Linked DNA regions of Schizosaccharomyces pombe. Changing the gene in region 1 together with any one later gene gives a genetic interaction. Each region holds a gene or a part of one and is shown on either strand. Other genes may lie near its edges.

Evidence for each region.
Region 2: of scp1 (region 1) and sre1, extra expression of one rescues a mutant of the other (dosage rescue), as found in Schizosaccharomyces pombe (2 studies listed by BioGRID).

What each region holds. Positions count from the first base shown.
Region 1 is NC_003423.3:4,011,932-4,027,252, forward strand, and holds the start of scp1 (Sre1 cleavage-activating protein Scap Scp1), read right to left. Parts: upstream 2,954-15,321; 5' UTR 2,845-2,953; coding exon 1,916-2,844; intron 1,859-1,915; coding exon 1-1,858. Other genes in the region: nucleoporin, WD repeat Nup120, read right to left, coding at 3,426-6,836; Fe-sulfur protein Isa2, read left to right, coding at 8,378-8,823, 8,893-9,064; vma7 (V-type ATPase V1 subunit F), read right to left, coding at 9,271-9,497, 9,556-9,691; GrpE domain-containing chaperone mge1, read left to right, coding at 10,616-11,287; SPOM_SPBC215.01 (GTPase-activating protein), read left to right, coding at 12,641-15,145. UniProt on the Schizosaccharomyces pombe protein: Escort protein required for sre1 processing at low sterol as well as oxygen levels.
Region 2 is NC_003423.3:1,686,226-1,704,129, reverse strand, and holds sre1 (transcription factor Sre1), read right to left. Parts: upstream 12,737-17,904; 5' UTR 12,303-12,736; coding exon 9,600-12,302; 3' UTR 9,439-9,599; downstream 1-9,438. Other genes in the region: phosphoprotein phosphatase Phs1, read left to right, coding at 366-378, 429-965, 1,018-1,094; Sm snRNP core protein Smd3, read right to left, coding at 1,502-1,568, 1,622-1,751, 1,807-1,866, 1,912-1,948; cytosolic thiouridylase subunit Ctu2, read left to right, coding at 2,157-3,257; mrpl51 (mitochondrial 54S ribosomal protein mL43), read right to left, coding at 3,424-3,632, 3,729-3,891, 3,983-4,048; protein Mdm34, read left to right, coding at 5,037-6,395; SPOM_SPBC19C2.10 (BAR adaptor protein ), read right to left, coding at 7,289-8,206, 8,322-8,909; U4/U5/U6 small nuclear ribonucleoprotein complex subunit PRP38, read right to left, coding at 13,152-13,642, 13,841-13,982; fructose-bisphosphate aldolase Fba1, read right to left, coding at 14,687-15,763; protein mug124, read left to right, coding at 16,925-17,362.

The DNA.
Region 1 (15,321 bases):
TATGTAGAGTCCATCTGAGCTCATTACACATTCACTAGCATCTTCGACTTCATGGATATTTTCTTGTAGTTCATCAAAGGTCAAGCAAGCCAGCGAATTATCAGGATCGTGTACGTCCACAAGATTTGGCTGTTGATCCCATTTATTCAATATAATATAAGACTCATTACATTCATTACCGTAGTAATAATAAAGAACCTTTTCGGTAACAGCGTGAGTAAAACAAAACGATATTGATGACACTCTAAACTGTCCATTAACAAATCGACTGTTACTCACGCCAACTGAAAAAGTGTTTACTTTTATCGGCGGCAGTGTAAAGGAATGTAATAGTTCATCGTTTTTAAGGTCAATCATGTCGACACCACTATCTCGAGCAAGAAACAAAATGTCCGCCATTGCAATTCCATAAATATCTTTTTTTGTTTCTGTTAGATAATTTTTGTTTTGAGATAAAATCTTTGGGGACCAGACGGGTCCTTTTTTAGAATATACAGTCACTTCACCGGATTCAGTCAAACAAGCAATTCTATTAGCCGTGGGTGAAACGATACTTATTGATTTAATAATCGGAGAACTTAATTGAAACTTTTCAACCAAAGCTATATCTGCACCTTCAATTTCAATAGTCAGACTAAAAACCTGAATTTCGCCTGAGCTTTCAACAACCACTAGCTCAAAGTTTTTCCATTCATCATCTTTATGCGTACCCGGCATCCAGAACACGTTTAATTTGCTATTTGGCTTACAGTGATAGGAATGTTGAAGCATCAAGCAAGGAGATTCTACATTCAGAATGAATAAAGTATCCTTTGAGAACAACGAAACGTAGTTTCCCTGAGGATCTAAAGCTATTGCTTTTAACGTCCTGGGCATTTGTTCTTTTGAAAGTACAAGCTTTGTACACCATTGACGTAAATCCCAAACTACAAGACACCTATCTAACCCGACGGAGGCAAACGTCTTATAGTTTTCAGATACAGCAATTTTTAAAATGTCAAGCTGATGATGAACAGGAACGGGTTCTATTCTGAATTTTTCCTCATGTAATGTTGTATCGGTTGAAAGCTCGTCATGGTCAGACCAGCCTCGCAAAAGTGCTTTAACAAGCAACCCAACCGCAAAATCAATTGCGAACAGTATGCTGAAAAATGTTGACCATCTCCATACTCTCCGGTCATGAAACGAGTTGTAGACATTAGTGTAATCACGACGGTTAACAGTGTCAAGAATAACTGGTCGATACAAAGCAATAACAAGGTTTTCCGCCATCGTCTTCTCTTTTAATGCTTCTAAAAAAGTGGGGTCACCAAACCAACCGGTCGTAATCAGTGGAAATAACTTTCGTTCTCGTAAAATACGGCCTAAACGATGATATAACGTAATGAGAAAGCGAATGTTAGGAGATGCTAATCTCCAAGACCCATTGATATCTGTACTGGATTGGAGTTGTAAATAAATAACGTACATATGAAATGAAACAGTACCAAGATTATCGATAATCCATGGAGACCACATGAATCTTACGTATTCTAGATACGGAACCCACCATTTTGAGTTTCGATTAGAAGAGTTTGAATCTAAAAAATCTTGCAACTCCAAACGACGTATATCGACACTTAGGACCGCTAGAAAAAAACTTCCATGCAGTAAAAAACTAACGACGAAAGAACAGGCAAGAAACAAACAAAACTCCTGCACCAGAGGATAAACAAAGAAGCTCAAGACAAAAAGAGTCAATAACTTCTTAAGTAAGGATGAAAAGGAGGCAATAATAGTACTAGAAAACCCTTCCATTATACGAGAAGGAACACGCTTCGTCTGAGGAGAAGCGATTACTGCGCGTAAAAGTCGAAATCTGATAAGTTAGTAATAAAACGTTCACATAATGACGAAGTATAGCAAAAAAACTTACGAGTTTTCAATGTCCATAAATATGATAATATAGTAAGCCATAGGCCATGGACATATGGGGCCCGTTCTTTCAAAGAAATACAGCAAAGAACAGGTAGAGAAGTAGGCAGTACCGCTTTGAATAAATATAGTCGCTGTAAGACCAAATTTAGCACGAATATCATGCAACCGCACAAGTGACAAATACAAATATGCAAAAAGTCCGACTCCAAACCCAACCCATAGGTACCATCTGTAAATAACAGTAAGGTCAGGAATACGTGCTACGACAGTGGTAGGGGATGTATCAAGTAAACTTGCATATAGATTAGGAGTTTCGGAAATAAATTTCTTTAAAACAACATGAAAAGTATCGACTTGTTCAGGCTTTAAAAAGTAAGTAATCACAAAAGCACTAAGCGAGTCAAAACCTTCGGCTATTGTATCATTCCTAAGCTTGTTCACTTCACGCTCATTTTCAGGAAGCCCTTTAGTATATGAATATTGAGCTACAGGATCAACCTTACCATAATATTTTGGTATTGGAGAAATAGTTACACAGGATTTTTCATCTCTTATGCAAGGATACCCGTATTCCGCCAAATATTGATGGAAGCTTGTTTCCCAACGATACGCGTTTGAAAGATAGTCTTCGGAAAACACTGATGTGTTCGTTCCTAAAAGATAGAGTTGTTTCGTAATAACATTTGCTTCAGCATTGATGCTCTCGGCATACCAAGCCGACCATCTAGCTAATGATTGATCGTAAAGGGATTGCTGATACGCTACCAACGACGAATATATACCTGTGATTGATAAAAGAGTAAACACAAGAATGAAATACCAAGGATTATTGGCAATACAGTAGCTGTACTTGGCAAATAATGAAGGGTTAACTTGCCGAGCATACCCTCGTGAAATTCGGCCTTTTCCAAGAGTAAAAATCCTCATAACGATATTTTCAGTTCAATAACATTGGTAAACGTTCATTAATTAGATCTTTACAAGACCGATATACCCAATTCACTGAGAATCAGTTTTCGCAGGTCTTGGTGTTTTGTACATTCCTTCGGGACCCGACAAATTTAAATTCGGGCACACGGCGTGCAATTTCCGTACACTATTATTAATAGAGAATTATTTAATCTGAAACCAAAAGTTTCAAAAAAATGTTATAAAATAAGGAAATAAAAATTCAAATATATAATTATTGTTGGTTCCAACATTCTGCCGATACTAGCCGTATCTCAACAATATTTCCCAACGGACAACACTAATTAGCAAACTGCGGCAAGCTGCAGCAAAAAGGTCGGAATTATAATTCGTTAAAGATATGTAAATACCAATGCTATCGAAAGTATATTTATATTCAGAATTTAATTTTATAGAAAGAAGTTAGTTATTTATGGCTACCCATCGCCTCAATGAAACTAAAGATGATTTAATTACTAAAACTCTGCCAAGCATATTGCTTTTTTTCTGGATTTTTCTAAATGAGAAGGTTAAGCTGCGTAAATAATTCTTTGTTGCCTTTATAAATCGATATTCATGGCCGATGACATTTCAGCTGTAACTTGAACAGCGACATCCTTCAACTGTAAGTGATATTCTGCTACAATTGCATCTAGAGTAAGTAATTTTTGTGGAAGAAAGTTAGGGTCAGGTTCCTTGTCCACGGACATGTCTGTCACAAGAATCCATGTATCTTCTTTCGGAAGCAACTCCAGAGTGTTCAAAACAATCAAATAATGTTCTATTATAAAAGTTCTCTCCTTTTTTCCAATTAATTCTGTAGTAGAGATATACCGGCTCAGTTTTTCATAAATAATTGCTGCTGCGTCTCGATAGTTTTGATGTTTATACCGCCAACTAAACAAAATATTATACCAGCATGGTTGTGATTCAACGTTAATCATTTGAAAGGCCTTTCGCTCAAGCAAATTGTCGACGTCCTGTCTTAACGTTGGCATTGAATAATTTAGAAGCTGATTTATTTTACCTTGTTTCGTTAATTGATTTACAAAGTCTAGTAAACATGACTTTTTCAAAGGCGTAGTGGATAAAACCATCAATGCAACGTGAGCAGCGTCAAACTTTCCTGCTGCACAAGCGGTTTTTAAAGTCTCATGGGTAATTGCAATAGACAAATCTTCGTCGTCAGTCTCTTTCGAGGCATCTGCTAATAAAGAAAATTCTAATGCATCTATATATGCACTCTCCTCGAACAGCTTTTTTGATAGATGAAGGTAATAACACGATAATAGGTTCTGATGGTGGTATTTTTCAGCAATTTCTTGAAACTCCCGTAAAACTGCGAATTGAGAAGTATGTGAGTAAAGGACTAGAGAAGTAGTCTTGAAACATCGGACAGCCTTAACAGCTTCTTTCGATTTGAGATAAATAAGTGCTTTCAAGTAGACTGCAATTGGGTCAGAGTTAAGCCACCCTATTAATTGCATACATGCATTATATTGTTTGAATAGAAACAACTTTTCTACAAGTTCAGTGACCAGATCATTTTCCGTATCGTCCCTTATAAAGATTGCCGACAAAGACGATATCACGGTAGCATGTAAAGGTGAAATTTGGCTTTCTGAGAAACATTCGGAATAATTCAAAGCGGAAAAAAACTGAAGGGCTGTGTTAACACTTGCTAAAGCTTCCATAGTATTTAAATTACAGTTTGTTGAATCAACATCCTCCTCCTCAAATTTTTCTAGCAAAAGTGCAGAATTCTCTAAAAGAAAACTCACAAGACGCCAATCTTCTAGTAAAGAAAGAAATAATTTATCACATCCTGCAAATTTGGATTGTAACTCATAATCCTGCTGGCTAGTTATCAAAGAAAGTAGAAAAATAAATCCTTCAATAGAGACTTGAAACTTTTTCAAAATACTGTCCAAAACCCGTGCTACCGATGCACACAAAAATAAGGAAGGGGATTGAGCGGAATGGTTGTAAATATCGAAACTTCTTAAGCGTTGGATAAGAGAATCAATGTCGCGCATCGGGTTTTCAAGAGAAACTAGAGTATCAATTAAAGTACTGATATAATCTGGATCGACGTTGGGATATATGTGCTTGTCATAAAATACCCACAATGTATCAAATAAAGAATAAGATGGCAAATCCTGGACTAGTTCTCGTAATGAGTATCTAATTTCAGATAAAGTAGAAAATGACATACAGGAATGTAAACTCCTACCAAGATCCAGAATTTGATAACCTTCAATTAGAGAAGGATCATCTGTTTCAAGGGAACTAATTAATTTGGTCAACGGCTCTTCGTCAAAGGATTCAATGAGATAAGGATCCCTAATAAAAGCCACTTTATTTGCATAATTGATATATGTAACAGCGTTCGAAGGATCGAAGTTAATACTTAATATTTCATCTCCAAAATGATCCAGATATGCAACAAGTTTCGCAAACCTTTCCCATTCATTATATAATAGCCGCTTATATTCATAATAATCGTATCCAGTTAAATCTGAATTTGGCTCTATTTGGATCGTTGAAACTATAGACGACAAAACGGCATTTTTAAGTTCACTTATAGTAAGTGCGCCAAATTTATCCAGTTTATTTTTTGAAACTTGCGAGGAGCTGTTTTGAAAGCTTAAAAGAGCAACTTGTATAGACTCAATAGATGTATTATGTGCAAAAATGTGTTGTAGCCAAATCTCTGAGATATCCCCAGACGACATGTTTGTTGGAACGTCAAAAAAGGTTTTTTCTATGAGGGAAAAGCTATCCAAAGAGTGACTCCAAACGCATGAAAAACTCTCGTCCTGATCTAGACTAAGGTTGCATTTTTGGATAACGGTATTTAAGTTGCTTTTCCAAGCAATAATGAGCAAAAATTTAGATTGAGAGCCCTCTGACGATATCAGTTGAAAATCAGAAAGCATCCATGGTATGAACTCATCGTCTGGTAAAGAAGGAGGAATTATGCCCTTCTCGATGACAACATTTAATTTAAAAGAGTGGGCGTTTGCGTTAAGTTTGTAAATTGAAAAAGAGCCATGAGAATTATCTGGGTAATACAGAGCGATGAAAGAATTAGTGGTGTGATCTGAAGTTAAATAAGGAAAGGATTGTAGAGGAAGTATAGTCTGTGACAGTTCAATGGTTTCGACGCATTGATTAGTAGACAAATCCAAAACTTTTAACTTATAGTCAAGCGATAGCATCACAAGAACATTATAGGTAGACAAAAAAATCATTGAAATAATAGTATTAGGAGAGCGGTAATCTGCCTTAAATGCCTGAAGTGATAGATATTTTTTTAGGGAAAACAAATAACTAGAATCATCAATATGCTGTTCGTAGTGACTAGCGTCTTTTGGATTTAATATAATCTTTGTTAAACCTCCATTGAAAAAGCTTACACAAATTTCAGACGTGCTAATTGCGGCCATTAAATCGGGTTTTTGATTCAGAAAGGATATTGGTCGGTAACAAAGACACCAATCGTCGTCTAAGCGAGCGTCCGGTAATTGGAACCAAGTTTTAGATAATCTAATATAATACAAAACGCGAGCGTGAGTAATAGCATATATAATGGTCGTGTCGGAATGCTCACTGAACGAGAAAGCTACACCGTCCTTCATTACGTTGGATGGAAAATGAATTTTCACATTAAATTTTGATAAAGGCTCCTTCTTAGAATTTAATGAAACATCAAAGATAGTGAGTGTTCTGTTTTGGAATATACTCCATCGTAAAGTTTGTGAACCTTTGCTTTTATTTGAGGTATAAACACCTGCATCATATGCTACACATTCCTTTTTAAAAAGTTTTTCATTATCATCAGCTGTTTCTATAGCTTCAGAATCGTCTTCCGAGTCGTTTTCGAGAGCTGGAACCCACAACGCCAAAGTTCCTTCCAGACAAAAAGATTGTAAGTCTATCGGAACTACCGCATGCTTTAATTCATTCATATTTTGATTTTATTTTTTACTGGTAGCGGTAATACCAGTAGAAATACCAAACAAATAGCTAACAATAGGGGGCAGTTCTGGTTGAGTATCGTAGACAACGACCTACACGAGTTAGCGTAAGACAGGCCAGTCCTACAACGAATTTATGAGAAACGCGTAAATACGAGTATATTTGTAATTCTTTAGCTTTTTAGGGTAGAGGGAGATGGAATGTAAAACTGAATTTTCTTCTTGAAGATTAAGTTCCTTAATAAAATAGAATCATTTGATTGTGGATGAAGAAAGCTAAACAATTTGATAGTTTTTATTAATCGAGCAATTCCTTTGTATTCATAATAATAAAAAAGGAATCAAATATTCATTTAAAACTCAAGAGCTTAAATGGATTCTCTATTTTATTTGTGAAATTACATACAACAGTAAAAGATCTTCAAGATATCAGAAGCCTTTCTTAGATTATTGTTAGTTTTTTTTATTATTTTTTGTATACCTGTAACTTTTTAGCTGTTGTTTTAAGAGATTAAATCTATTTAAATTAACAGTACTCATCTTTAGGGTCTTAATTTACAGCCTTTCAATCTTTTTTAATAAAATAGTTTTCTAATTTTCTAGTTTTGTTTATTTTTAAATTTTGCAAATTCTTAGTAAATAAAACATGTAATATTTTCAACCATACGTTAAATTGTAAATTACATTTTAATAAATATTAATTACGTGCAAGGGTGAATTATTGTTCATTGGCATGCAATTTATAATTTATTTTTTTTATTGCAGATACAACCAATTCTAAGTCTAATAGCCAAGATCTCTTATACCTGATTCAATATTACAATTGCGGTGATATGTGCTTGTACGAACACCCGCAACTTTATAGTAATTAAGCGGTAGTACATACACTGGTATCACGATAAAGAATTAGCTAAAGTAGAAGATTGTAGCAATGGCATCAATTGTGATAAAGACATTTTCTGGATGTGATCCACCGGTCTATGCTAGAATTAAAGGATCGACAATAAATATCCAGAAGAAGAATTAACCAAATGGGTTGAAATTATCTCTAATAGCTAAAAATCTATTCATTTAAAACTGAAAGAGAATTAAAGGAGTAGGAGTACCAAAAGGTAAAAATAATCCAAAGATATTAATTTTGACTATAAATCATCACAAAATTTAGTAGCATACAACATAAGTAAAAAAGAACATTAAATAATTCTAGATATATTTGATAAATTCCCCTTATTCTCTACTAGCTATGGGTGTGAGAGTTTTGTAAGTTCGAATTCAATCTATCCGATATAAATCTCTTAGAGATTGGGTGTTAACTAATAGGTAAATCCCTGAATTTGACTTTAGTCTATGACACACTCGTCAAGTTATGACTATTTCATTTATGTACTTAACTTCTCTATCTCATAAACATAAGCACCAATTTGGAATATACTGAATTAACGAAACAGAGCGTAGGCAATTTGACTTCTATTACGTTACTGTATGTTTACAAGTTAGAAAGTCCTAACTTGTGGCTATAATACTTTGCAGTGATGCTTATGAAATCGCGAGTAAACTTATTGTTTAAAGGACCATTTTTCTTTCGAGAACGTTGTTTTCAAACACTCTTAAATCCTGTGATCGCAATTCGACAGCTATCGCATGGATCGCTTAGAAATTCTCGATCATGTAGAATTGATGCGAAATCGAATACATTAACGAAAGAAATATTTCCCAAAATAAATAATGAATTCAAAATCAAAAATCGATTTTATAGCTCAAAGCTTGCGAACGACCAATTCACGCTTCAAGAGCAATGTGACGAGAAGGGAATCCCTTTTATTTTATACGTGAAAGATTCAGCGAAAAAACAGTTAGAAAAAATTGCAGAAAGGAAACCAGAAGAAAACTCTGTTTTGCGCGTCACTGTCGATGGTGGTGGATGCCATGGATATCAAGTATCTTTTCGCATGGACAACAAAATTGGAAATGCTGACACGTAAGTGATGTGGTTAAGAAGACTATAAGTTTTAATTAAGTATTTCCTGGTTATTGACTAAATATCTAGGGTATTTGTGCGTGGAAAAGCCAGGGTTGTTGCTGACAACATTTCATTACCTTTGATAAGTGGCTCTGAAATTGAGTATACAAATGAACTTATTGGTTCCTCTTTTCAACTTTTAAACAATCCACGTGCCAAGACTTCTTGTGGTTGTAATGTCAGTTTTGATGTTGAATGAGATTTATACTTAAAATAATACATTTCTCTTATAATCACTTTTCTATTTATCAAATATAGTTTAACAAAAACTCTGCTTACAATTTTTTGCTAGTATGCCAGTAAGTAAACCAAAAGATACAAATATAAAAGTGTCATCAGTCAAATCGATCGAGTTGTTGACTAATTGAAATTATTGCTCAAAAAATATAATTAAATATTAATAGTCTATTCTCCAATGATCTTTCTAACACGACGGAGGATACTGTCCTTTTCAGGATCATAAGGATCGTCTTTGCTAGGAATTTCCAATACAGCAGGGAATGCCTGCACATGGTTTTCAATACGATCACGTATTCTTTCAGCGGCAAACTGGTTAATCAATACAATCGCAATATCCTTCCTTTTCGTAGTATAATCATCAAAAGCTTCAGCAATCTGCTCATCTGTAGTCTCTACATAAAACAGCAAGTTAGCGAAAACACGATTCCATTTTTTAACAGATAATCTTACTCTGAGTAATTATAAAAAAGTTTTTGTCACCGTTTTCATTTACCTGACCAGTTCCAGCTAAAAGCATCCCAGTAACGGTATCATCGTCTCCAATTACAGAAACAAGTGTCCGTTCTCGATATGATTGTGAAGACATGATTTAGAGAGATAAGTATTTAGAAAATCTAGGTAAACGTCCAAGCAGGAAAATAGGAGAGTATGGTGCTACTTGAAAGCGCAACTTCTGGACTAGTAGGCGATTAAAAGTGTTCAGTGGTTGAATCGTAAATTTTCACAAAGCTTAGATAAATATTTAACAGAAAGCTATGGCTCTGCCTCTACAATCCTCAAATGTATTCCTGAGTTTAAGTAGTGATGGTGGATGAAAGTGTAAGGTCCAATACCGATAAGACATATCTGACACTTAACTAAGGTACCTTTTATTATGAAGACTTCTGTAATTAAGAATATGATATTATTATAATAGGAATTTGTGAAAATTCGACTCCCATAAATTGTTCAACAAATATCATTATGCAAATAAACTGATGAATGTAAAAATAATAAGATGGCCCAGATGACACAAATAGGATTATTTTAAAACTTAAATTATAATATTCAATTATTTTACTTTCAAAGGCTGCGAAGTAAGTACTTCGATATAATCCAATGCCGTAAAGCATACCAAGAAGGATATAAATATAGATGAGAAATCAGTTAATTATTATCTGTTGAGAATGAAGCTGAAAAGAATAAATTAATAATTGATAAGCATATGAGCCGTTGTTGGCTTCCAGTGTTGAGCAAATTCGAAATTTGGGTTGCTTTCCTACATGCATGTTCAAACCTACAATCAATTTGTTACATATCGAAATAGAAGCTTTAATTTGAGAAAAAAGTGTCATTTATATATTTTTTGAATCAGCTTCCATCTCAAAGTCCATACCTCATTTAACGAAACATAACGAATTTTTAAGTTGATGAAATTGATATTTGTAAAATTTAACAGTGCTAAGTTCACAACACCATTTGTCTATAGTGTGACACAGTTGTCTTTTACCACAAAGCTCTCACTGAAACAATGCTTGGGCTTGGAAGAGTATTTTCATCCGCTGTACGTCCTCGGACGCTTATTCGAGCACCCATTAATAAACGCAGTTTCCTTTGGTACTCAACTGAGGCTGCTAAGGAAGAAAAGCCTGCTGAAGAAAAAGTTGCCGAAACAGAGAATGTTGATGTTAAGGAACTTCAATCTAAGCTTTCTGAGCTTAAAAGTAAATATGAAGCAAAGGACAAAGAGGTTGCGGAGTTAAAGGGTAGCATTCGCCAAAGCTTAGCTGACTATCGTAATTTGGAAAACCGCATGAAGAGAGACATGGAGCAAACACGTGCATTTGCTGTTCAAAAGCTTACTAAGGATCTTTTGGATTCTGTCGATAATTTGGAGCGTGCTCTTTCAATTGTTCCAGAGGAGAAGCGTAACAATCGTGAGTCCAACAAGGATTTAGTTGATCTTTATGAAGGTTTAGCAATGACTGAATCGAACTTAATGAAAACCTTAGGAAAATATGGTTTAGTTCGCTATGACGGTATCGGAGAAGATTTTGATCCTAACATCCATGAAGCTGTTTTCCAAATCCCTGTTGAAGGTAAAAAGCCCAACACTGTCTTCCATTGCGAAAGCAAGGGTTTTCAATTGAATGGAAGAGTTATTCGTCCTGCCAAGGTTGGTGTTGTTAAGGGAGACGACTAGAGGAGCTAGTCAAAGATGATAGCAAGGAGCATACGAATACGTCGTTTCACCTATATTATTTTAATGACCAATTCGGGGTTTTTTTTTATTTTTAAACTCTCAATGTTTGTCTGGAAAGTCCTTTGTGGTATTATTGGATTTTTTCAGTCTTTTCAGGGGAACCAGAAGTCTTTCTGTGCAGATGCTTTTTTCTGCAAACTAATAGTCAAAGACAGATCGTAAAAAGTTTCATTGCATTTTTTGGGCTATGGGTACATTATTATATTTTTACCGAGGGGACTTGAATCCAATGTTTTTGTGTGGTTTGGGTTTATTGTTTAGTGATTTGCTATCACAACATAGTACCTATTTTTACTTACATTTATAAATAAAATTTTTACTCTTTAATACTATAGCTTTCACCCAAACTGGTTAAAGAATTTTGATATTTCCTTCTAAAGATTACTCAAAAGCATTTCTTTAAGAGTTAAAAGTGGAACCAAGTGGAAGGTATGTATTCTATCATTTAGTTTTATAGAATATTAAAGTTCCGAAAGTTGATATGTGCTTTAACGGTTAAGCCTCCTTTTCAAGTATTCGTAGAAGTTAAGCTAGTGTTCTGTATTACAAATTAGTAAGGAATTTTGACTAGTTTAGATGATTTTTTTGTTTTTTATAAAATAGATATGTAATAACAAACTTGCTAATAAAGTATTGATTGGAAGCAGCTAGCCTGTTCGAACTAAGCCATAGTATAAGACATTACTCAATCAGCCTAATCTAATAGATAGATATTCAAAGTTACAAATGATAAGCATGAGATCGTTTGTGGGTGATCCCGTTGCTTTTAACTTTATTAAGAATCTAGTCAATGAATAGTTTTTAATCCAGCACTGATATCGTCAGAATTGCATATTCGAGAGATATATTCATTTTTTCCAGCTCAGTAATTACACTATTACTAAATAAACTCACTTCTTAGCGATACACTACCGCAAGGGTTTACGTCTTTATTTAGATCAAGAAATGGTGCCTTGCATACTACTCGAACGTGGTGTAAAATTTACCCTTACACAATAAGTGTTGCTTGGCAACACGTTTTGCTTTCTTTCCTTCTATAGAGTTTTCAATAACAGGAAAGATAAAAAAAGGGGATCTATCACCCTGAGATCTATCGAGTAATTTAGAATTGGGTCATTTGCTAAATTGCATCTACTTTTGTCTTATCGACACTGAATCTTTTGAAATTCTGATTTAAAATTGAACATTTTTTTATTTTTCTATAACTGTTGATATATTAAGAAATAGTTGCTTCAAGAACCTTCAGGTATTGGCTTTTAAGACTAGCTGTTGAGTTCGAAGAAAAGCCTAGCTATGTCTTCTTTAGCCAGTCTTATAAAGACGAAGCTAAAACTTCCTGATTCCTCAAAAAACTTAAACAAATTACGATGGAAGTTTCGACTTCTTGAATCTCAATTTGCCCTCTACAGTTTGCCCTGTCAACTTCGATTTGTCCACTATAATAACTTGGAAGACCCTAATTCATTTAATGGTCTGCTTTATTTATTTACTGATTATATAGCTTTTCAAGGTGATGATGAGTCTAATCAATTTTGTATGCCATATACTATAATTCGAAAAGTTAGTCGAGTGAAAAGCAATGATCTTGAGCAATTGTTGTCGGTATCGACAAGCAATGGTTACGAATACAGAATATCTCTGCAGGTTTCTGAAACCACTGCTGCACATTTTTGCCAATTACTGAGAGAAGAGCTTGTATCTCACAAAGCTGATATGCAGCGGTCCTCCGAGTTTAGCAAACAGTTCTTTTCTGAACGCCTTTGCAAACCCAATGTTCCCGAACCAGAAACTAAAGATTCTTATGGATTCGGTGCTCGATATGGTTATCCCACCGATCCTCGAATCTCTAGAGAACGGGCAAAGCTACGAATGTGGAAAGAGTATTTTTTACTTTATGGTGCAAATCTTTCGTTAATCAGAGTTTCTCTCTTCTCCAAATTGGTCCGAATTGAATTGCCCAATAAACTTCGTGGTGAAATATGGGAGCTTACATCAGGCTCCATGTACTTTCGTTTAGAGAATTCAGATGAATATGATCATCTTCTTAAAGTGTATTCTGGTCAAACATCTTTTTCTTTAGAGGAAATAGAAAAGGATTTAGGTAGAAGTCTTCCAGAATATCCTGCTTATCAAAATGAAGAAGGTATCAACGCTTTGCGAAATGTTTTAGTAGCCTTTTCTTGGAAAAACCAAGAGGTTGGTTATTGTCAGGCAATGAATATTGTTGCAGCTGCTCTTTTAATTCATTGCACCGAGGAACAAACCTTTTTTCTGATGCATAAGATTTGTGAAGATTACATTCCGGGTTATTACTCAAAGACGATGTACGGCACTCTAATTGATCAACAAGTTTACGAAAGTTTGGTTCAACGCTCAATGCCTAACTTACATGCGCATTTTGTAAGCAAAGACATTCAACTTAGCATCATTTCTTTGCCGTGGTTTTTGTCGCTTTTCCTTTGCACAATGCCTTTACCGTATGCGTTTAGGTTGTTAGACTTTTTCTTTCTAGAGGGTCCAAGGGTTTTGTTTCAAATTGGAATGGCTATCCTATATGACAACGAAGCTGAAATTATGAAGGCTACAGAAGACACTATGTTGATATCAATTTTAAAAAATTATTTTTCATCATTGGGAGATAAGGCTTATAAAGATGCAACAGATAAACGCGTTGCCTCTATCACGAAGTTTCAACTTTTATTGGTAACTGCTTTCAAGAAGTTTAGCCATATAACACACTCTTTAATTGAAGATGAAAGGAAAAAACATTACGAAGGAGTTATGAATTCTATTGAGTCATTTGCAAAGAGAACACAAATTAGGAGTTTACAAAATTACGGTACATTAACACGTACGGATTTAAGTAATATTTACGACCGTTATCATGAAGTATTGTCGTCCAAACATCGAGTTGGATTAGGCAGCTCTACTGATACACGGTTGGAATTTGACGAATTTTGTATATTTTTAGCAGGAGTTACTGAATGGGCGAAAGGTTTGGATGCAGCGGCTATCAATAATTCATCATCCTTTCTTCGTCATTTGTTTTTACGATTTGACAAAAGCATGACTGGATCATTATCTTTACAGGATTTGGTGTCCGGTATTGCAGAATTGAAATTTAGGGATGTAATGCGCAATATATCTTTTATATTCGAGCTTTATGACTTTAATGGAGATGGTTTTATGGATAAACCAGACGTTTTGAAGGTTTCAGAAGCTATTCTTTGGTTAACTAGGTTTATGGGTGATGAGTATCTATCCGCAGTTAGCGAATTCATACAACGCTGCTTTCATTTTGCTGATGAAGCTAGTCCTGATGGTCATTCTGATACGTTGATTGATATAAGCGACCATATGAGCAGTACTGGTTCTGAAAACCGTTCTGTTGGTGCTAATAGTGATATCAAAGTTAGTCTTCCCACTTTTAGAATGGTTGTTTTATCAATTGGTTTATTAGAGCAATTATTTTCTGGAGGACTCGCCGACTCTATCGTTTTAGCTCCAGTCCAAGAAAAATCATCAACCACCGGAGGTTTGAGAGGTTTATTGGATTCTTTGGTAATTGATACCAATAGGATTGGTAAAACATTTCGTGGGCATAAACCCGCTTCTCGTCCAAGTACCGCAAATGGTACTAGCAATCAAAATACTACTTCTGAAATTACCACATCGGAAACTACGGCGACTGAAAAAACACCTTCAAATTCTTCAGATACCGAAGATGATGTTGGTGATGTTGTAGAAAACGATAAAGATTTGCTTCAATTTGATCCATACAAAAAAAATGATGCTTAAAAAGCTATACTTAAACTTCTAATCAATGGCACTATAATGCATCCTAACTAGTATTATTTTCCCAAATTTTGTTAATCTTCATGCTCATAATTTATTAATTATTGAAAAATCTATCATCTATATTGATATATTCTATAGCGTCCCTCTGCTCAATAACATATTCGATTCTACTTTCA
Region 2 (17,904 bases), 2.3 Mb from region 1:
GGTTTGTAAATTTTTTTTGACTTGATAATGTAAATAAAGACACGTATCATCAATCGAGTCAGATAACCCAATTAGTTATAGAATATGTAATTTACCTTAATTTTTTAATAATCTGATTGATATTATTTTTGATCAATTTATGATTCTGTGCGAATTTGATATTTTCATTAATACATAACGATGTTAGCCAAATCCGAATTTTAAAAGTTGTTTGTAAAGTGTTTGTATACATTCTTTTGATAGAAAGAATTTATCCATCCCCCAGAACGCAACAAACAATATTGGCCAACAATGGTCTCATACAAGTGAGGCCGCGTAGTGAAACGTTTGAAAATCGTATTGTTCCAACTACAATCCCAACAAAAATGTCGAAAATTTGTAAGACTCGATTTTTTATAGATCTCAGTTATTAACAAAGTTAAAAATAGTAAAAATACAATATTTAAAACTATACAATGTTATCTCCTGCTTTCTTTGGATGAGCGTTTTGCTTCGTACAGGATTGATATGGGGAATAACCAAAGATACAGCCGTAGTTTTTCATGAAACAAATACTTTAGTTCGCTGGGTACAAACTCTGGCAATAGCTGAAGTATTCCACAGTATATTTGGACTAGTATCTTCTTCTCCTTTAACAACAATCATTCAAGTTGCATCTCGACTTTACCTTGTTTGGGGTGTGTGCTATCCATTTTCATATGTTATTGAGGGATCTCCTATATACTTAAGTATGATCATCGCTTGGTCCATTACCGAAATAATTCGTTATGCATTTTATGCATTCAACCTGAACGGCGACATCCCTGCTTTCTTAACATGGCTTCGCTATAATACCTTCCTAATCCTCTATCCCATCGGTGCTGGAAGTGAATTTCTTTTAGTATTGAAAAGTAGGATTGCTGCTCAGTACGTCTGGAGTTTGAACAAGCTGCTTTGGCCCATCTTGATGTCTATTTATCCACCTGGTAAGTTGAGTGAAACCCAGCTTTTCTTCCAAAATCTTTATTAACTTTCTAGGTCTTTACATTATGTATACACATATGCTTGCTCAACGTCGAAAGATTTCCAAGCGGGCTGCTGCCAGAAGAACCTAATTTTTTTTTCTAAGCTAAAATAAGTTAGGTTTATTATTCTGTAGTATCGGATATTACATATTATTCAATTTTTTACTTAACTTTTGCATTCGTATAGCATATAAAGATTTATGTTGTAAATATGTATTTTAACAACACAAAATAGTGGTAATAGCATTTGTCACTATAGATAAGTCGAAGGTATCACTCCGATAAACAGCAGCTACATAAACGTACTTCGAAAAGATGTAAAAAGAGCTTATTCACAATATCTCTTACTACTTACAATGCAATGTAGAAACACGTGCGTCCATTAATTTATTGAATATTTAAAAAATCATTACGTTTTTCAACTTTAAAGCAACAGTAGAAATGAATTTTTCATTACTTAAATCACCAAATCTATTATCCTTTTTCATACGGTTCTTTTATCGTCGTCCACGTGTAGGTAAAGGAACACTTCTGCCAGGGCCAACTTTGAACATAGGAGCATTCCTTGTTTAAAAACGTTAAAATTATGATTAAACCAACCACTTAAAAATTCTTACCTAAGCATATCAGGAACGATGAGAAAACGAATGTGTGAACCACGAATGTAAACTTGATCCAAATGAGAAACACGACCATCTCGAGCAGTTACACTGATATCTCTCATTTGACAATTCATATTATCTTCCGCTAATTAGTGTAAGTAAACCATAACAAAATAGAAATCGTTTTAAAATGAATATACCTTCAATTAACTTTCCACGATACGTAGACCCATTTTCCAACTCCATCGTAACGATATGGCCTAAAAATTAGTTTTACTAAAAAAAAATTGGGTAAAAAATCGTACCTTGGGTCTCATGAAGCAACTTAATACACAGAGACATGGTCGATGGTGGTGTACTGTGTGAGTAGCTGGCACTATGAAAAATTCCAGTGTTTAGTTGGTTTGCGCACCACCAACTATTCTTTTTCCATAAAATTGGAATTGAAAGAAGAATAGGTATCTCTTAAACTTATTTATTTATACGGATAATTTTTTTGAAAGTACTTTGTGGACCTTCATTTCGAAAAACAATAGAAAAATCTAAAAAAATGCAGAACACGGCTCTAGACAATTCAGCCGACTCAAAATGTTCCAAATGCGATAATAAGGCAACAGTTCTGACTAAATCAGATGCGGTCTGCGATTCATGCTTTGTCAGAAGAATTGAGAACAAAATTCGTCGGCAATTTGAGCTTGTACGACCCAATTTACAAGGACGCAAATCTAAAAGAGCAATGCTGGCTATTTCCGGTGGTATATCTTCAATGGCAATGCTTGAAACAGCCAATTATTTATCAAAATATCGAGATGATAATTACCGGCCTATGTTTGATGAATTGCTTGCAGTTCATTTTCAGTGGGGAACGGATTCAGCTGTTGCAAAAACGATTGAGGAAAGTATTTCCAAAAATTATCCTAAATGTCCATTCAAAGTTATTGGTGAAGCTGAGTTATTGAACCGTACCATTGCTACAGACTCACGAGGAAATATAGAAATAAACGCAGATAATGAGAAATTTAATCCAGAAGTCATTAGTTCGTTAGCCTCGCGTCAAGATTTACTTTACCGAATTCGGGATAAGCTTTTAGTATCCTATGCCCGGAAGGCAAATTGTGATACCATTGTTTTTGGTGATAGCGGTACTACAATTGCTGCAAGAGTTCTTGAACTTGTGGCAGAGGGTCGAGGTTTTGCGATACCATGGTACACTTCTGTCTGCTCTAAGCTTCCAAATTGCGATACTTTCCTACTACGTCCCCTACGTGAAGTTTTGTCTTCAGACCTCAAGTCGTATATGAACATTAAGGGATTAGCTTTCTGCGATAGCTTAATTGAAGCACGTCCTAATACTATTCATGGCGTTACAGAATCATATTTCTCATCGCTGAATGATACATTCCCAAGTCTGGTTAGCACCGTTGTCAAAATGAGCTCAAAATTGCATGTGCCTTCTACAGAAGCCATATGTACCATCTGTAATCTACCAATGCAAGAAGATGCTGAGACTTGGTTACAAAAAACTACGGTTGAACATCCGGATTCCGTTGAAGGTATTAAGAATCAAAATGTTTGCTATGGCTGTTCTGTTTCTTTAAAAAGCTTAAAAGGGACGTTGCATATTCCTGATATTGAAAAAGAAGGGATTTGATACATCTGTACACTTACTACCTGGTTAACTAGAGTATTTATGGGAAGATAAATTTGGATAGGGTTTTGTATTTCGGACAAAAAGGTTAGACATAATAACATAACGAAAATGATTAAATTGAATTTTCTTTTTTTTGTATGAAATAATAAGTAGTTTGTAGAGGAATCTAAGGGGACTTTTTCTTATAAATTTCATGGGGCTTTGCTTGATCGGAAAATGGACTCCAAATACCACGAACGGATGGGTTTGTTGACTCAACAGGATATTTTATGAGGCGAGGTTTCAAACCATCACTATCTCTGCATAGAATTGCTTTTTGAAATATTGAAGACGCTGACATTTTCCTTGTACAAATGACCTTCTCTCGACCAGTATCTATTATCGTAGCATTAGTAAAAAACACTATTTTAAGGAGTTCATATTTATAAAACTAAGAGGATCACCATAATAAGAGAAAAGTCTTGGACGTACTGTAATAAGCTCGGATTAATGGATGCTTGCCTTGGCGGTTTGTAACATGAAATTCCACATCTTGAGATTCTTTGGCCAAAGACTCAAGCTTTGTGGATAAAAATTCTTTCATGCCTTTTGAGCTTCCACCCCAATTACAATACGAAAACTCAATTCGACGGCACTAAAAAGAAAATTAGTAATACGAAGTTAATGAAGGCCAATCTTTTTTTTTTTTTTTTTTTTAAAAAAAAAGAAAGCTGATTAAATCTTACTGGGCGGGTAAATGAACCTAGTCCATTTTTGGGAATTGAAATTTTAGGAATGATTTCAATCATCATTAAGTGAGTAAAAGGCCGTAAAAAAGGGGATACCGTCTTTTAAAAACCAGAATTCTTAATATGCTATATTGAAAAAAGTTGGGTGAGCAAATCCTTGCAGAAATAATGAAAAGTCGGTATGGAGACGTAAAGGGGTGTGTGGAAATTCGCAAATCCCAAATTGCTCTAAACTTCAATACTTGTTCCAATTGATTTAGAATGTTAAACTTAGTATGCAATTAGTTTTATAAAAAATTTTAGCAACAAAATCAAGTTTACTGTCTACCTACAGTTTCTGGTTACACACTTTGCAATACTTTACCTTTCTGCTCTTCTCTAAATAATGATATCTAGAAAGTTTACAGTGATTTTTTAACGTAGTACATGGACTGCGAACAAACATAATATAGGTTTTTTAAAACGAACAATTTTGATTTAATATCATTCATTTATGCAGAGATATCCTTTTCTGAAAGAGCAAAGTTGTATCGGTTCTTGTACTCGAAGTTCTTCAGCCTAGATATTTGTCAACATAGCAAATTAATACAGTAAGCAACACCACTAATATCATTTCTAAAATAATGGCTGAATTTCTGATTTGAATATCTAAGGAATTTCATTTCATGAAGCTTTATTTATCCCTCCTAAATGAACAGAATAGCAAGAAAATATATTTCACCAGTATAGCATAAGAAACTACTGTGCATTTTGTAATAATTTATTTAATGCATTCTAATACACCTTCGTTCATATACAGTACGATCGACCCTATCCTTATCTTGGCTATATCAAGGTTCAGTATGCCGCACTAGTGCATCAGCCAGCCTATCGATGTTTATTTACTGTCCGCCACTGTATGGAAGTTGTCGTTTCCCTATCCGAATTTAATAAAAATTTTGTAAAGAAATTGATCTAAAGCGTTAGTTACTTAGTCTATACTAGACGGTTCCTTACAAAAAAATTTGACATTTTTCATAGTTGATGTAGATAACTTAGGAAAATCAACAGAATGTCGTTTCGTGTAAAGGGATGGAGTGATCAGTTCTCTGAGTCATTCTATGAGCGAGCAACCACTTTGCTTACGGCTGCTTTAAACAAAGGCACTAAACACTCGATGATTGCAGACCACATCACTGTAAAAGAGTTGGATTTGGGTCCCCAACCTCCTCAACTGGAAATTTTAGAGGTTGGCGACTTAGCGCCAGACCGCTTTCAGGGCCTCTTTAATCTCCATTATTCGGGTGATGCTTCTTTGGTCTTGCAAACAAAAATTCGTGCCAATCCATTATCGGTGCAAAAAAGTAATGTTCCCAGTTTTAGTTCTCGTAATACAATGTTAGCATCTCGTGCACCGCTTACTGTGCCTATGTTTTTACGACTTTCCGACTTAAAGCTTAACGGAATAGTTGTTTTGGTGTTTTCAAAGCAGAAAGGTATCACTGTGGTATTTCGAAACGATCCTTTAGAATCCGTGCGTGTATCTTCCTCCTTTGATTCTATTCCTGCTATTGCTCGCTTTTTACAAAGAGAAATCGAGGTGCAACTGGTCTCCCTGTTTCAGGAAGAACTTCCTTCCATCATATACAAAATGTCAAGAATTTGGTTTGCCAAGTCCGACTCTAATCTATCTTTTCAAAAAATTCCTTTCACTTCTCCTAACCAATCTCATACTTCTCTGGCTAATTATAACCCAGATTTGCTAGATGGTCCTCCCGACTATCATGAATCTACGAAAGTCGACACTCATCTCCCAATTAAAATGGGCCCATTGGATGTCCAAACGCATCCTAACATTCGATCTATTGCTTCTTTAGCCTTATCCAGAAAAGCACTACTTCCTATTTCTTCTCCTTCAATACCTATGTCCATATACCGGTCAACTCCTCCCGATACGATTATACAGCAATTGACTACTCAATCTGATGATATTTCTGCTGTATCTTCCCCTGCAACCCAATATTCCGCATCAGACTATCTTGGTTCAAATGACACCACGGCTAGGCCATCCATTTTTGGTCGTAGTCATGGTACCTCACAATTCCGCCGCCGAGAACGTGTCAAGAAAAGACATGTAATTAAAATTCATGAAGCATCAAACAAGTCTGCTTCCTCTTCCGAAACTTTTGTTGGTTCTAAAAACGTTGACCTTACTGAATCTGCGTTTGATTCCATACCTGATACTCCTACAAAGATTATTACCAACATTAATAAACTTAAAAGGAATTATACCATCACTAACAACTGGTTGGAAAACCTGCAGCAAAAGATTCCGTCCGAGGTTGATAACGGAAAAGTATCTGGCCTTCAGTACAGTGCCTTTAAGTTGCTAATGTTGCAACGTCTCATGGCTGCCAAAGGTTCTTTTTAAGTTAATTTCTGTGAATAACTTTCTCTTTTTTTTTGTTAACCTGCTACTCTTCAAGCATATCTCATGGTTTATTCAGTGAAAATAATTTTTTTTTTTAACGATAGGGTTAGTTCTCTGAATTTCTTTTTACTCCTCAACATTTGGTGTTATTTCCTTTTCCGTGTCAGTTGTTACCCTTTTTATTTAAAACATTAGTATGCTTTTTTCTTACCTGGATATCTTGGTGTTAATTTTATGTTCTCCATTTTAATGAAATAATCACGATTACCATAATTTGAGGCGTTGGAATTTTTTTTTAATAATTAAATAAGCATTTAAATGCTCAACTAGAAAAGTCCTGAGATGTAAGTTAAATCTCATTATCCCGTTTAAAACGGTTACTAGAAAATTTCCATATTTAAGATGTAATCTTCAAATTTACCTGTAATCAATATATAACAAAGAAAACTTAAAAGATTAAAGGATATCTTTGACATTATGATATTCATGAATACATTTTTATATCCACTTTTAAAATAATACTGTTCATACTCTTTCCATCTTATTTAAAAGTATGAAATTTACGGAAACAAAAGTTCGAGATAAATCTTAATTATATTAAAGCATAGGTGCTAACATGATTAACAAGTCTGTTTAAACTAACTTTTAAGGTTAAGATCACTCAATTTTAATGTCATACAGACAAGTATATCGACAGTCGAAATAAAAAATGAAGAGTACCGGGTAACGTGATGCATAAAAATCAGTCGGTATTATGCTAAAAAAATGAAATAATGCAAAAGAAAGGAGCTTCAAAAAATCATTTAAAATGAAATAAAAAAGAATGATTGTAGACACAACAGCCATTAAAATTGGACGGAAAGTAGCAGCAATAGTACTCGGAATAAATGGGACTACTTAAAGCCCTTTTTCAAAAATGCCCGAAATGTTTTGTCCCATGGATGGGCTGGAACACAATAATTTGAAGGAAACATTCCGGTATTTCCAGTAAAAACCCCATCTTCACCCAGTTTCTCCCCAACCCACCAACCTTCATCAATTTCTTTTAAAACTAAAAGAAGATCTCCCTTTTTTAGTTTTAACTCATTTTCTGTTTCTGGCTCAAATGAATATTTCATTCGTACTACCTTTCTGGATGAAATGGAAGCAAGTGGAGATGAATAACTACGATTAAGCTTGCTCGGGGGAGCATCAGAAATGTTGGAAGGTGAAGGGGATACATTACACTGAGACTTCAACTTTTCATCCAATTCTGCCGACGAAGCAGATAATTCCGGTTGTTTAAAACTTAACTGGATATCCTCCTCACTTTGTAACGATGCCGGTTTGACTGGGGTACTTTGAGTCGTAGACAGTTTGGGTTTGGTATGACGGGGGATTGGAGGTGATGAGGGAGTTGTTAAATCTACAGCAGACTGCCCCAATGAATTTTGAGCATCCGAAACATCCTTGTTATAATTATCTTCAGTATGCTGTGTTCTATTTGAAGAAGCTATGGAAGAATTGTCCAGGTCAGCTTCTGTATGGTAAGAAGGGAGTGTATTGGTGGGAGAATGATATTCATTTGAAGAACTATCGGCCTTTAAAGTATCATCCATTTCAAAAATGGTATTCGAGGGCGTTGTTGCAACATTTGTTGAAGAAATATTCGATGGAATAGATCTTGCGGAATAAGTACGCTTTGGAATATTAACGTTATCCCTCTTCTTGGAAAATCCGTTCATCTCAAGTCCCTTTAACAAATCGAGACTTTTTTGATGAAATCGTATTTGCATCTGTAGGAGTCGTACAACGTTTTCGACACGATCAGGCTAAAAATTAGTTAACAAAAATATTGAGTCATATAAGATAAGTTAGGCAGGCCTAATAATCGTTTAATTATGGCATCAAATTGGTAACGAATGTCATTAGGACGATAATACTTACCTCTAATTCTTTCAATTGAACCATTCTGTCTTCAAACTCTTCCAGAGACTCCTCGTATTTTGCGCGAGCATTCCGTAAATCTTCTTCAAGCTTTGACTCTTCTTTTTTGGCCTTCTGTATTTTTGTAGAAAGCGCGTCAAAGACAAGTCGTCGATTTTCCATCTTCTTTTCCTTCACATCTAAAGCCTTAAACTCGGCTAAAGAATTTTCTAGATTTGCCAAAAAAGAATTGTTCAAATAATCCATAAACTCCTCCTGTAGGTGCCCTATTTCAACCATGCTTTTTCCGTACATGATATAAGTGTGCGAATTGCTTGAAGAATGCGATAATGCTTGCCCTAACTCTACAAAAGACGATCCAACGTGAGTAACAGGTAATTGCTTATCTTTCTCGTCGAGCAGGCCCTTTCGTTTATCCATATTCCGTACCCATCTTGTGCAACTTCTATGAATTTTATCCATTCCCACAAGCCAGGCATCCGTTTCACCTTTCAAGGAACAAAAATCATCAGATAATGTAGTCTTCTGACGATCAAAACCAAATTTTTCACCGGTCCATTGTGAAAGCTTTGCAAAATGTTTGTTCATCTTCAAAGGAGAGCTAAGTTCTTGAATCGACAAATAATAAAAGCGAGTCTATTTATTTTTATTTTAGGTTGTAGGATTCAGAATAAGTTAACCAATATAGTAGTAAATAATACATAAAAACAATTTGGTAGTTTGTTTACCTTTGGTGAATGGTTCGTATTACTCCCGAGATTTCAGTAAGGACGGAACTACGTACTGTACCGTAAAACTTCAGACCACTCTTATCTATCTTATGCATTTCCATTTTATTAATAATTGACATTCTTTTTTTTATACAATTGGTATAAAATGGATATCAGCAGTCTAAGATTCAACACATCTTCATCAACAGCAGAGAGTTAACTGCAAGAGAAGAATCCAATTTTTTAATCTTGCCAATGTGTCATTATTTAAAAAAATAGTTAGTTCGATGAACCTTAGCATGCCTCAAATTGTACTCTATTCATTTTATTTAATCACCAAATATACTCAAATGGTGAATTGTGCTAGCTTGATACAACAAAATAACTCTAATTGCATATTTTTATCACTGCTCTTACCGACGACAACTGTAATTTATTAAAAGAATAATTAAAACTAAAAAATGATACGCAAAATAACTGATGAAATAACAATCATGGAAAATAATAAGGTAGTTGCAATAGATGAGCGTTGTATACTAACTGTTCTCAAAGCTCGAGAATCGACAATTTAAGCTGATGAAACATAACCCAAATCTTCTTGTAAGCGAGATCCAATATCTATGCAAGAGTTGATTAACTTACGAGATAATTTCAAATCTTGAATTTTCAAAGTTCCGATGGCCGTCCGCACGTACATGGCCATCTTTTCAACGACATCGTTTTCCTTTGGAGATGTGCAAATAGGAGCAAAAGTGTTCAAAGCGGTCCAGGAAATAATAAAAGATAAAGGTGTAATGTCTGCATCACTATCAGGTACAAAGATTTCCTGATACATACGTTTAGAAACATCCCCGTATCCAAGGCGTTGGAGTGCTAATGATAGGCATGAGTGGAGTGTGAATAGCTTGGATAAGTTGATCTTTAACACGCTTGACTGCTTGCGTTTATCTTGGCTGCATAAATCCAAAGTGTTCTTGTATGCTGCAAGGACTTCATTCAAAGAATCAGCTGTATTCTCGGGGAACAAAACCAATTTAGCTAGTAAAGCATGACGAATAATAGAGGAGTTCTTAGGACAAAGGGAAATAATTTCCTCAATCTCGGATATCTCAACTTTACGGCTCAAACTTTCCATCAAAAGGGCATCCAACAAATCAGCGGCATACCATGAGGCAAGCACCTCTAGAGGAGATAAAACCAAAACATCAGATAAGGAGCTAATAATACTATCTGACATTTGAGCAGAGTCACGGGTGCACTTTGCTAGAACCCACAATCGCTCAACCATATTCGGAGAGAAAACGTCGTCAGCGTGGGAGTTTTCAATTAGGTTAGCAGTACACTCAGGAAGCTCACGTAACTCCGCGTGTACAGAACTTTTGCTATGTTGTTTCTTTGCAGCATTCCAGAAGAAAGCAACGCACTTCGAAACGATAGCGGATGGGACAGAGGTGTTGGAAAAAATTAGTTGGCAATACATTGCTTGTAAAGCACAAGTATGACTTGAAGGAGGAAGAGAAAATGAACTGGCAAATACCATTAAGAGCCTCAAACGGTCAACTTTAGCATCACCACCCATTAATTGGGCATCCAAAAGCTTTTCCATGTTGCGAACTTCAGCAAGTTGTTGCTCACTATAAACCCAATTCTCAGAGGAGGTATAAAGAGCACTCAAACGATGAGTCAAATAGCCATAAGCAGATTTAAGAGTGAAGATCAGTAATCCAAAAAATAGAGAAATAGTCGAAGTAGAATGGTCCAATAAACAATACTTTTCGAATACGGTTTTTCGGAATAAGATTGAGGATGGTGACATGGAAGATCTGGTACTAACTTTAGATTTCTTTTCACCCTTGAAGCCTTTGAAAAGAGAGTTATCGTGCAAAAGATAGAATAAACCGAGTAAAACAACACCAATTTTCAGCATGTTAAAGAGAACAGTACCTGTGAATGGAGACATAAGAAAAGGTGGAAGAGCGAATAAACCATAAACAGATTGAGAAGAATCGTTTCCAAAATAATTGAATAGACCAAGTCCAACCATGCCATTTAGTGCTGTGCGGCCCATGGTATTTAGGGTTGGGGAAGTAAAAGCTCTTTGGGTTAGGTTTGGTCGAGAAGATTGGTGAACAGAATAGTCAGATGAGGAAACAACATTAACAGAGTTAACGGCTCGAGTATCGTTAGAAGGAGGAGCCATCGAAGGATCTTCGTAGAAAGCCAGCCTATCTGAAAGCTGCTTGTTAGTCTTCTGTAGTTCCTTATTCTTGGCCTCCAAATGTCTGATATACTCAGTTGCTTTTGCCAATATTGTACCCTTGTTAAGCTTACGAGCGGGTGTCAAACCCCCCAAATCCTCATCGTCCAGAGAATTACCACAACGAAGTGCAGCAGCAGCACGAAGTGAAGGAACTGCATCACGCAATTCACAAATTCGGTCGTTCAAGTTGGTTCTGTATCTCTTCTCAATCATGTTATGAGCTGTCTTCTTTGGTTTTCCTCCAGGACCGGCTACAAAATCTGGGGTTTCAGAAGGAGATAATGAGCCTCTAGACTTGGGGGCCGAAAAAGGTAATGTTTCAGGAATTGAGCAAGAATCTTCCGAGGAAGGAGACAACTTTATTTTCTTGGCAGAAGGTTCAGGCTTGCAAGTGGTGTCCATGGGTGTAATAATTTCTTCGGTTTTCAATTTGACTTCTGGATTTGACATATCAGCTGAAGGATAATTTTGAACAGTCGATGGATCGATTGTATCAACAGAGTGAAGGATTTTCATTTGGCGCTGAATTTTATCATCGGCATCGAACTCATTCAATGATGGGCCGGTAAAGGTCTCATTCTGAAATGAATTTGGAGAGCCGCAATTAGAGAGAAGAGGATTTGTAGAGTTTTCTAACGAGTTAGGGGAGCCCATGTTGGTCGAAGTAAACAGAGGAGGCGCCGAGTTCATCGTATTGTCGAACGCAAAAGGGTTAAGCCAATTGCTCATTGATGACTCCATATCAGAAAGGGAAAACGAATGGGGAGACAACGAGGTGTTGGTCAAGGTTGGAGGTGAGTCCTCGACAATGCTAGCCAAATCACACAACAGATTGGAACAATTCTCCACAAAGGGAGTAGAAGTTGAAGCCTTTGTCGATGAAGCCAAAGGGGATGAAGAAGGAATCGCACCCACTGAATTGGGTGATTTGCTGTCAGGCGAAGCTTTTGTTGGAGTTTCCATTGCAGGAGAAGCGACCGACACGGAAACTGACGGAATTGAGCTTTGCATATTTAACAAAATTTCCAGCTAGAACCAAGCGGAATTTAACAGCGAGTTAAAAAATCCAACAATAAAGAGAAATTGAATTTAACTCTTAGGGTTTTTTATCTCTGTGACTGTATAGGATGTTGAGCGAATTTTCTAATCGAGCTACAAATTATCCAAAATTTGACGCATTAAAAGCTATCCAAGGCGATAGATAGCAAAATAATTTCTTGAATGAGTTGTAAAATAAAATAATGTTCTTAGCAAGAAGGAAATCCAGCTTGATAATCGTTTAAGATTAGGTTATAGCAAGAGTCGAGCGCAGTAAACAAACTCTCAGCAACAACCCAATTGTTGTCAATGAACTTATAAAGGCTACTGGACGTCCTATAAGTAAAAAAATTTAAAATCGATCACCCGATAAGCAAAGTTAGGATTGCTCGAGTATGGTAATGGATGAAAGAGAAAAGTCGTGTTAATTCATATGTGAGCAAAAAAGAAGTGGACTGACATGTTTTTAACGAAACGTAAGAAAATAGACGGAATGGGGTGATTCGTTAAAGTATGGTGTGAAAAAAATTCCGTGGCGTATCAAAGACATTTTATAAATATTTAGTGTGCTGTAAACTAAGTCTATCGAAATTTGTTTACAAGAAAAAATAGCGTATTTGCGATAATATGTGAAATCGATATATATTAATATACAAATCTATTTGATTAGATGTTTGTTATTCATAAATTGTTTTTTAATAAGTTCAAGTGTAAAACCATTTCAATCCATAACTTTTCCTTGTAGAGTCATTCCAAGTTAAATCGTAGACGCATCACAAAATGCGTGCTTCGCTTTACTCTTTTTTTGTATATTACTTATCCTTAAATATTCCGATCTACAGCACCTTCATTGCTCTCCAATTTACTAATTTGTTCTTCATCATCATCTTCTTCGTCTGAAGAAGATGAAAGTGGTTCAAGCAAGTCCAAATCTTCAAGTTGGAGTCGACTTCGCAATGGGGGCAGGGAAATATCGCAAACTACTTCGGCATTTAGCAAATCATCAACAACCTCATCCAGATATGTTAATCGGATCTCAGAATTAGTACGAATTCTTAATTTCCGATAATCTCTTAACAGCGGTTCCAACGTTTGATGCACTTCCACATCATCCCATGTAAGCCGAACGTAAAATGCAGCCAGGGCACGTAAATACTTGAATTCAGGAATAGATAGGTACTGTTGAATTATTTCTTTTTCAGGTGCAATTTGTAAAAGCTTGTATAACAAACAGATAAACTCGGTGGGCCGTTGATTTCCATACTGACCACCTATATATTCAAGCCGTACTGCACGATCCACCAATGAACAAGCTAAGATGTATTAGTCAGTGAATTTGGAATAACAGTTTGAGGACTGATTAAAACAGCAAGTACCTATACTTGGTTTCTTTGCTTGCCAAATCAAGTTCATTTAGGCTATATCACTCAAAATATCGATTTGGAAAGTAATCGTACTTGAACTCTAATATGTAAAAACACTTTCCTTTTCTGTCAATGAAGAACACATACCATTCAATCCAAAACATTGTTCTTTCCAGTAAATAGAATCTACTATGCGTTCTCTCAAGATTTTTCCTATAAGGAAAGTCGGCAGCATTTCATGCGCCGCCTCACCTTGAGAGCGATAATCTCTAGCAAGAAAATCAGCCATAGTACCTCATGAAGAGAATGATTGCTCCAACCTTGATGTCTTGACTTGGAGTAAGCTTTTAAGGAGCAGTAGTGTACTGACAATATAAGTGGTCAAGTCTGAAGAAGCATGCTGAGTTTTGATTGAGAAAGGGTTATCTAAAAAAAACATGGATTCGTGAAATATGGAGGAAAAGGGAAAATGCCCGTACTCATTGCAATGAAAGAAGAAAAAGTTGATCTACTAAACAATGCACACTGTGTACACAAAGCACATGAAATTCAAGCGATTATGTTGTTTTAAGCTACTCATCGAGATTTGCCAAACGATATATATTAAATTCAAATAAACGCACGGACATATTATTTATTCATTCATTGTCATGTGGAATCGGAAATTTTTTTTTTGTAAATTTATATACCTAAGAACACATTAACCAATTAAGGAAGATGAATAAAAGGATAAAAAGAAAAATCTTAACAATATACAGTATGCTTGAAAAACACTTTACAAATCCAATCCAAAAAAATTTCTTAACTTACTTTGCCCTACTTTACTTCAAATATCTCTTATGCTTTTACAATGGTAATTTTAAAAAACAATGTCTCTATATTCAAACACGTAATTTCAAAACAGTATGAACTCTCATTAAGGGGACAAAAAAATATAATTTTAATGAAGCCCACCGTCTATTCAATCATTTCCATCTTTCAAAAACCACAAATTTAGAGAGTGTTGACAGTGTAGAAGTCCTCAAGAGCGGTAAGAACACGCTTGGTCATGGTCTTCTCACCCTCATGGATCCAGACACGAGGGTCGAACTTCTTCTTGTTGGGCTTGTCAGCTCCCTCGGGGTTACCGACGGGGGTCATAAGGTAGTCCTTGTACTTCAAGACATAGTCACGGACACCCTCGACGTAGGCGAATTGGGTATCAGTGTCAATGTTGACCTTGACGACACCGCACTTGATACCAGTACGGAACTCGTTGACAGAGGAACCGGAACCACCGTGGAAGACGAAGAAAACGGGCTTGTCGTTGGTGGTCTTGAGTTGCTCCTTAACATAGGCTTGGTGTTGACCCAAAAGAGCGGGTTGGAGCTTGACGTTACCGGGCTTGTAGACACCGTGGACGTTACCGAAAGCGGCGGCAATGGAGAAGTAAGGGGTAACGGAGGAGAGCTCACGGTAGACATCCCAGATGTCCTCGGGTTGAGTGTAGAGCTCGGTGTGGGAGACGTGAGAGTTGTCGACACCGTCTTCCTCACCACCAGTGATACCGATCTCCATCTCGATCCAGATCTTCATGGGAACGGCACGCTTGCAGTACTCCTTAACTTGAGCAATGTTCTCCTTCTTGGGCTCCTCGGACAAGTCAAGCATGTGAGAAGAGAAAAGAGGCTCACCGTGAATCTTGAAGTAGGCCTCATCGGCTTCGAACATACCGTCCATCCAGGGGAGAAGCTTCTTGGCGCAGTGGTCAGAGTGCATGACGACGGGGACACCGAAGAAAGGAGCGATGGAACGGATGTAGTGGGCAGCGGCGATGGAACCGGCAATGGAGGCCTTTTGGCCCTCGTTGGAGGATTCCTTACCAGCAAAGAAGTGAGCACCACCGTTGGAGGTTTGCAAGATGATGGGGGAACGAGCCTCACGAGCAGCCTCAAGAGCAGCAATAGCAGTGGAGGAGGAGGTGACGTTAATGGCAGGGATGGCGAATCCGTGCTCACGAGCGTAGGTGAACAACTTTAAAACGTTGTCACCTGTAATAACACCAGTAGGTACAATATCGAGAATTCCCATTTTGCTAATTTGTGTGTGTGTTCTATACGACCTTTGGAAGTATGATACTGCAACAGTAGCGCGCAACCCTCTATTATATACCATGGAGCCGGAGTTGGCCTCGGAAAAACTTCTCACCTGATGTGCATATCGATACCTATCCGGTCCGTGGTTACCACCAATCACCGTCCCCTGTTTTAGGGGTTGACGTCAAAAGAAGTTTTTGATTTCTTCCATTTACCATCCCCAATCCCCCCGATAGCGCTCTGCATCGAAGTACGCAATTCCGTTCAAGAACCGTAACACGTTGCGTGGTGTGTGTCAAGGCAAAAGGAAGCGGCGGCGGCGGTAACCAACTCGTTCACCCGATGCACAAACACAAACAAAAGAAACATTACCAACGTAAACATAAATACAAACCTAAGCATTAAACATTTATAAATACAAACATCTAACCTGCCCTATACTATTCATATGTCTATTTCATTTCTATTCATTTCTTTTCATTAATTTCATTTCATCTCCTCTTGTCTTGTCTCGTCTCGTCTCGCTTCTCCATTCTCCCAGCCATCCCTACTTCCCAGTTTGAGTGATGGATTTTTCTACTCAACCAACTTGAACCAGCCAACTAAACTAATGCATTTCTTTTGTTATCACAGTCTGGCCGTCTCGGTTCGGTTCGATGGTGTTGTGCCCACACACCCCATCTGCATCTTCGGTAGTATTCTTATTTTATAGTTGTCGCCTGGGTCAAATGATCAAGAAATGCAAGGCAATTCTTCTTCCAAGCATGCTTGAATTAGCTTTACCATCAATGTAAGAATAGACACTTTGCACCGCATTTCATCACTGTCTTTACACAAGCAGGTATGTGAAATGAAAAGTATTTTTGGACATATACAAAGTGCACAACTAAGTAGCTCTCTCACGTATTGATGATTTTCCATGCGTCCGACCGGCATTCGTTTACGGGAGTATGAATTTCGTAAGTGGTTTGATTGATTGAATGCTTTATCATTTTTTGGTTATCTAGTACCACTTGTGTTTCGCTTGGCCACGAGTAATATTAGTCCAGCAATGAGGTGAGAGAAGAGATCATCGTTTGTGTACATAACAAGAGGAAGAAACATTGATAAAAAGGAATTGAGAGAGTGGAAGAGGATGAGACTTGACTAGAAGAGTATGAGACTGCAGTCACTGTCAAGTGTTGCTATTGCTGAGACTAGGAGACAAATCATTCTTACTATTATTAACTCTCTTGTTTACTTGGTAAATTTCATTTCATGTCCATCCATTCATTCCATTCCATTCCACATCTCCACCCATCTCACATCATGTCAAGCTAATATTTCTCTGCTCAAAATCGTTGGTCTGCATTGTCCATTCCATCGTCGTGGCATTGCATCTCTGAGTGTATGTGTGGCATTGCATTGGATTGCGTTTTCATGCTCGGTCATGTGTCACTTTGCTTGGAGTTGCGCTTTGCCTTGTTTTGTCGATTCATTTTTTCCATCCAATTTCTTCCTTCGTACATACGCTTTGTTTACGTTTTCGCTGCAGCTCTGGTCAGGTAACGATTTGCAAGGCAACCATTCCTATTTAGCAACCCCGACACGATGACCGATATACCTCGTTACCTAGATGGGCTCGGTTGATGTCAGCGGCACTTGAACCCTTCGCTACGGATAACAATTGGATTACCGCAGGGAAATGGTTGGAACGGATAAACTCTTGTTGTTAGAGATAAGCAAAATCTTGACGAATATTGTTCCTCGCCTCTTTGGCAACGCAACGCATCGATATAACGATGTAGGGCAATGCACTGTAAGCGGGCTATGTGAGGTTAACGTGGGCTTGTGAAATGAAAGGGAGAGCAGAGGGAAATGGAGAGAGAGAGAGAAAGAGTAAGACTGCAGACGCTGGATAAGTAGCATAACGCAGTGTAACTTGTAACATCGTAACACATCGAGGATAACATATAGACAAAGCGTCGTCGTAACGAATATATAGAGAGAGTTAAAAGACTAGGGTATAATATGTTTACTTGCACGCTCTACTAAATAATAGGTATAGCACGTATATCCAAGTTGTAACTACAGCTATGTACAAGTACATCTCATAGCACAATATACACATATATAAACACATTATGTGGTACAGCC